Sus scrofa: one gene and its partner. The protein of the gene in region 2 binds, or shares a complex with, the protein of the main gene of each other region. Links are inferred from orthologs where the notes say so. Each region holds a gene or a part of one and is shown on either strand. Other genes may lie near its edges.

Region 1 (3,654 bases), on a different chromosome or scaffold from region 2:
ATACTCAAAAAGGGTTATAACATGGTAACATTTTTGTTATGTAAATTTGACCACAACTTAAAAAAAAAGGATAGGATTGAAAGGGGAAAAAATTAGACTATAAACATTCACAGAGCAGAAAAAGACTAGAGGGATCTACATCAACTCTTAATGACAACTCTGGTGGTGTTTCTGTAACTTCTTTTTTTAAACATTGAACTGGGATTAATTATGTACATAAAGAAGGAACCTGGGGAATTCCTGCACAGCACAGTGGGTTAAGGACCTGGCCTTGTCTCTGCAGCAGCTCAGGTCACTGGTGAGGCACAGGTTTGATCTCGGCCTGGTACAGTGGGTTAAGGATCTGGCGCAGCCACAGCTGTAGCATAAGTCACAGCTGCAGATTTGCTCCCTGGCCTAGGAACTTCCCTATGTCTCAGGTGCGGCCATTTAAAAAAAAAGAAGAAAGAACCGGAGCTTAGAGCGTAAGAATGCTTCTGGTGGGAGGCAGTCAGTCAACTGGCTGCTTTCTCCCAGCTCTGCAGCGAGGCCACACCAGGGCGAGCAGTCCTGAGTGTCTGGGCTATGGGAGTAGCCTCCCTCCGTCGGGGTGCTGGGACAGGTAAGAGAGCTCTGGGGGAGCTGGGGGCAGGCAGTCTCTCTTTGGCTCTGCAGTTGGCCTGGACACACACACACACACACACACACACACACACACGCACACACGCACGCGCGCGCGCGCGCGCCTGCCCTGAACCACTGGCAGCTCCTCCCTGTGGCTTCCCAAGCCCCGCTCAGGAGCCTCATGTGTCCCCCAGCTGCATCTGCTTAGCTCCTTCAGTGTTTCCTCCATGCTCCGAACAAAGCCTCCACCAACCTGGAGACCTCATCCTGTCCCCTCCACTGCTGTGGGAGGGCTGGGCCTCAGCTGGAAGGTCAGGCCAGGCCTCTCAGAGGAGGGGATATATAAGCCAAGCCCGGGAGGTCCCAGAAGGGCTGGCAGGGTCTGGGGCAGTGTCCACACAGCAAGAACATATTCCTATCATGGACTTATTTCTTCACGGAATATGATTTCTGATGTCCGTGGGGCATTTCCTGGGTCAGGATTTAACCAGGCTCCAACCCCCCTCCACACCCCCACTCTGGGCACTCCTTGTGCTGCTGGGACAGGTAGGACACGTACCGCTGGGTGTGGCAAACTGGATGAGGACGCTGTTGCAGCCGAGGGTGATGATGAAGGACTGCTTGCCCACACGGCTACACTCTGTCTCCCGGGACACTGAGCACTTGAACACACAGACGTCTTCATCTGCAGGAGCAGGAAGGAAGCTGTGAGCCGACAGGTCCTGGCCAGCCTGGTCAGGCTCCCCACTGGCTGCCTTTGTTCAAGTCCTGTCCCGCCAAACTCCCCGTCCCTCCTCACAACTTCCTAGATGCTTCCAGAGTGCCATACCCCGCAGAAGCACTGCCCCGTACCATGCCTGCCCAACCCATGCTGAGGACAAGGTGATGGCCAATCACATCTGTGGGGGGAGGTACACAGCCTGTCCAGTGGGAGAGGACAGCTGTCCGCAGGGCGACCAGGACTGGGGCGGGGAGGGCAGTTGCCCAGCACTGTGAGGTCCAGGGGACACCTCTGCCAGGATGACCCCTCACCAGCACCTCCTGGTACCAGACCCCATGCTGCTCAGTGGGCAGTGAGGTAGGAAGACACATGAGAAAAGGGCAAGTCTGGTGGGGACTGAGGGTTCACAGGAACCCAGCAGGGCACCCCAGGCCCAGCTGAAGGAGTCAGGCCTTCAGTCACTGGCCCTTTTGTGACACATGGGGGTATCATCAGTCTTCAGAGCTGAGCAGGGCTGGGTGGAGGGTGAGAAACAAATCCTGGTGGATGGAGTTCTCTGGTGCCATATAGGCTAAGGATCTGGCGTTGTCACTGCTGTGGTGCAAGTTCGATCCCTGGCCCAGGAACTTCCACATACTGCAGGTGCAGCCAAAAAAAAAAAAAAAAGAAAGAAAAAAGAAAAGAAAAAGAAACCCCAGTGGATTTCAAAAGTAATCTTTTTTTCCCCACAATTTTTACTTTTTTTCAAGGTTTTATTTTGTTTTGGTCTGGCCTAAAGCATGCGGAAATTCATGGGCCAAGGAATGAACATGTGCCATAGCAGTGATCCGAGCCACAGCAGCGACAGTGCCAGATCCTTAATCCACTGCACCACCAGGGAACTCCTTTCAAAAGTAATCTTTGAAATTTGAAAATAAAAGCAGAAAGGCAATGTCTTAGTATAGAAAGATGATTTCAAACTGCTGAAGGGACCAAGGGACAGCAGTCATGAGCGGCGGTCACATCAGACCAGAGGTATACACTCTGCACCTTTGTCAGTGGATGCCTCCCCCAGTTTTCCTGCATCTCCTCCTCACTCAGATTTTCCCTCTGGGACAGGAGACATTTGATTTCTCTTCCTCACTTTGCCCTCTCAGCACCTGGAGACCACTCACCCGAGGCCTGGATGGTCACCAGGGTTGGTCAGGCTGATGATCCAGAGAGAAGAAGTGGCCATGAGTGCACAGTATGTGCTTATATACGTGTGTGCACACATGTGTGAATGAGACAGTAGATGGTTGGGTGTGGCTCAAGAAAGGAATCTCCATTCTGCTTCCTCCAGCTGAGCCCTTTCCTTCTTGCATGTATTGTGTGTGGCCACTGAAGCTGGACAGCCTGTGTTCATGCCCCACCTGTGCTACTCAGTATCATGAGGGCAGGGCAGAGCCCTCAGTTTTCTCATCTGTCAAGCAGAACTAATGGTGGGACAGGCGAAGGGCCCACCACACACATATGGAGAGAAGCACTGCATCCCCGAGCCCGCCACCACTATTGTTACTGCATTCTCTCAACCAGCACAGGGCGCCCCACCTTGGCCAACATCACCAGGAGACAGACCAACCCAACACTGTGGCCTGGATGTCGGACAGTGGGATGGACACCCTGGTCCCATTAGAAGGGGACAACTGTACCAGATCAGGGGCAGTCCAAGACAGCCTCCCTGGTTGCCTCAGGAAAAACCTAAATTGCTGGAAACTATTCCAGAGTAAAGGAGACTAAAGAGCCTTGATGATCAAATACGAGGTGTGGTCCAGCTATAAAGGACAACTGGGGAAGTGTGTGGACCGCAGGAGCCATAATTTTAAATGATCTAGATGTGACAAGAGCATTATTCTGTAGAATGCCCTTATCATTAAAAGATACGTCTGGGGAGTTCCTGTCGTGGCGCAGTGGTTAACGAATCCGACTAGGAACCATGAGGTTGCGGGTTCGGTCCCTGCCCTTGCTCAGTGGGTTAACGATCCGGCGTTGCCTGAGCTGTGGTGTAGGTTGCAGACGCGGCTCGGATCCCGCGTTGCTGTGGCTCTGGCATAGGCCGGTGGCTACAGCTCCGATTCAACCCCTAGCCTGGGAATCTCCATATGCCGTGGGAGCGGCCCAAGAAATAGCAACAACAACAACAGACAAAAGACAAAAAGACAAAAAAAAAATAAAAAAATAAAAGATACGTCTGGAAGTAAATTCCTGTGATGTCTACAACTTGCATTTGACTGCCTCGTCAAGTAAGCAACAAAATACAGTTATAGAGAAAAGCAAGAGGACAAATATGGCAAAGTGTTTCCAATTGCCCC
Region 2 (2,924 bases):
AACACTTGATACAATTAAAGTTATTCTGAATGTGGAACTTTCAAGTGAATAGATTGTACGGGTAAGTTGATAGTAAAGACCAAAAGCAGGTATAGTTTAATGTATTTTAATAGCAAACTTACAGGAACAGCACAGAAGACAGACAACATTAAAAACATGTACTTGCATGTAGGACAACTCAGTTAGAAAAGTATAGTGAATGGATGGAATCTACTGTATGATAAAAATGCTACAAACACCATTTAGTTGCAGTCAATAAGAAATTTACTTGTTTTAAAAAAATCCAAATGCTGGCATTGTCCAGAAAAATTTAACAGGTTTATTTATAATTGTTATAAAGTTGAACTGCTGAAACTTGTTCACTGAAACATTTTGACTTGCATTAATGCTTTATGTCCCCGCATTTATATTAAAAATTCACACACAAATGAAAATGGAAAAACTGCCAATACCTGATTTCTGTCCCCTATTTTTCCACTTGCAATCATATACTTAGGTACCTTTTGACCCCATGGAAAAAAAATATCTAACGTTCAGAACTACCAATAACAGGAAGAAGAGAATTTTTTTTTTTTTTAAAGAATGAAATGTTTCCCATCATAGTGGATTCTTAAGCACGTTCTCCACGTATGCGGCGTGCTAGCTGGATGTCTTTTGGCATAATTGTTACACGTTTGGCATGGATAGCACACAGGTTGGTGTCTTCAAAAAGGCCAACCAGATAGGCCTCACTTGCCTCCTACAAAAGGAATAAAGAAAAACATATTAATGTTAATGTAAACAGTTAAGATACATCTTTATCAGTTAAAATGATCAAGTTTTTGAGCCCTTTAAAATCCTACTTCAGGAGATGTTGACTATTTTACCAAATGCTCACATTTTCTTTTAATTAAATAATTAATTTGGCTGCACCCATGGCATGTGTGAGTTCCTGGGCCAGAGATCAAATTTGAGCCACAGTTGCAGCAACGTCAGATCCTTACCCCACTATGCTGGGCTGGGAATAAAATCCAGGCCTCAGCAGCAACCTACACTGGTTCCTAAACAGCTAGTGGGAACTCCCAAATGGTTACATATTATAATTTGTGGGACAAGGCTGAAAGGCAGCTTATGAAAAGTGAAAAGCTCAAGCTTGTTAATCTTTACCAAATAATACAAAACTTATTTCGTTACTTAAAAAGTTTCATTTTTTCTAACATTATGTGTGATTTCTAGTAAAGCATATCTTGAGTTAAGTCAAGAAATCCAATTTTGGAGTTCCCATAGTGGCTTACAGGTTTTAGGAACCTGACTAATATCCATGGGGATGTGGGTTCAATCCCTGGCTTTAAAGGGATTAATGTTAAAGATACGTGATGCTGTGAGCTGTGATGCAGGTTGCAGACGTGGCTTAGATCCGGCGTTGCTGTGGTGTAGGCCAGCAGCTGTAGCTCCAATTTGACCCCTAGCCTGAGAATCTCTATATGCCATGTATGAGGTCCTAAAAATATATATATATATAGCTGACCACAGGTTTCCATCATAAGGTCCTTCTTCTCTACCTTTTCTTTAACACCTCAGTTTTCAGAGTACTACAGGGTCCCAGAACACTTGCGTCTTAATTTACATACATTAACCTATTTTGCTGCTGTGCCCCCTACTTTCCCCTACTAACTGTACCCCCCCCATGTACCCCAACATGTACTGGCATTTGTAACCCCCCAGAATTAATATTGACCCCTCTGGTTTTCCCCAAAACAGTATAAGATGTTTTTATAATTAACTTTTATTATACATTTTATAGTTATCTGAAAAGTTGAAGAATCCTTTAGTCCAACTTAAAACATCTGCTTACTCATTTTGAAATGAAGCTACTGTTTTGTTTTACCAGTCTAGTCATCAGTCCAACTGTTTTAGTGGATTAAGAATACTGAATGAAGACCTTATCTGGCCTCTCTACATGCAAGTTTTCTCTGTTGAAGACACATTTAAAATTATTTCCAGGAGTTCCCATTGTGGTACAGCAGAAATGAATCTGACTAGTATCCATGAAGATTGGGGTTCAATCCCTGACCTTGCTCAGTGGGTCGCTGTGAGCTGCAGTGTAGGTCACAGACACAGCTGAGATCCCAAGTTGCTATGCTGTGGCGTAGGCCAGCAGCTGTAACTCTGATTTAACCCCTAGCCTTGGATCCTCCATACGCCAGAAGGTGTGGCCTTAAAACAAAACAAAACAAACTTCAATTTGGAACCTTTAGGTAACTATAAAACAAAAAGAAACACAAAATACTTGAGCAATTCAAGCCCCTCAATACTAAATAACACACAAGATATACAAATGGGAAGAACCAGATTTACTTTTTACCAACTTTTTTCTGACTTTGCCAATAAAACTTGAGATCTGCTTTTAAAAGTACTAACAGCAACGATTAATTCAAATGGTCTACATTAGTCCACCTTATGAAAAAAACTGTAACCTTCACGTTTATGCCATTCATCTTTTTTTTTTCTTTCCTTTTTTGGAGGCTCATGGAATTCCTGGGCCAGGGATCAGATCCAAGCCACAGATGTAATCTATGCTGCAGCTGCAGCAATGCCAAATTCTTTAACCTAGAATGCTGGGCCAGGATCGAACCTGTGTCCTAGAGCTGCAGAGACACAGCCACACCATAGCAGGAACTGCACCTTTACCTTTTTAGCCTATCTCTCTTCTATAAAAATTTGTTTCACTCAAATTTTACTATCCTTACATGACTTTCTTCATCTTTTGTTATCAAGAGCCAAGTTTTATTTATCTACCTTTTAAGGCCGAGTTCAAGACTATTCCATGAAGGAGAAACCAAACACTTCTCTTGCCCCTAGTTCCCAGGTGCAGATAACTTTGAACCCTCCTAATTCCTTGGCACTCATAATTGGCATAGTACATCAGTCACTTTTAAAGCCCT

Evidence for each region. The genes of interacting proteins can lie anywhere in the genome.
Region 1: the proteins of H3F3A (region 2) and CARM1 are in contact, whole or in part, in a crystal structure (PDB 5DWQ), measured with the Homo sapiens proteins. The link is inferred for Sus scrofa from reciprocal best matches to the Homo sapiens genes H3-3A and CARM1. Residues at the interface, in NP_001365972.1 of Homo sapiens: Gly14, Lys15, Ala16, Pro17, Arg18, Lys19, Gln20, Leu21; in NP_954592.1 of Homo sapiens: Gln148, Tyr149, Phe152, Tyr153, Gln158, Asn161, Met162, Asp165, Glu257, Pro258, Met259, Gly260, Tyr261, Glu266, Val340, Leu412, Thr413, His414, Trp415, Tyr416, Ser447, Lys470, Pro472, Phe474.

Annotation. Positions count from the first base shown.
Region 1 is NC_010444.4:69,626,057-69,629,710, reverse strand, and holds part of CARM1 (histone-arginine methyltransferase CARM1), read right to left. Parts: intron 1,289-3,654; coding exon 1,163-1,288; intron 1-1,162. UniProt on the Homo sapiens protein: Methylates (mono- and asymmetric dimethylation) the guanidino nitrogens of arginyl residues in several proteins involved in DNA packaging, transcription regulation, pre-mRNA splicing, and mRNA stability.
Region 2 is NC_010452.4:13,945,654-13,948,577, reverse strand, and holds the end of H3F3A (histone H3.3), read right to left. Parts: intron 740-2,924; coding exon 611-739; 3' UTR 602-610; downstream 1-601. UniProt on the Homo sapiens protein: Variant histone H3 which replaces conventional H3 in a wide range of nucleosomes in active genes. Constitutes the predominant form of histone H3 in non-dividing cells and is incorporated into chromatin independently of DNA synthesis.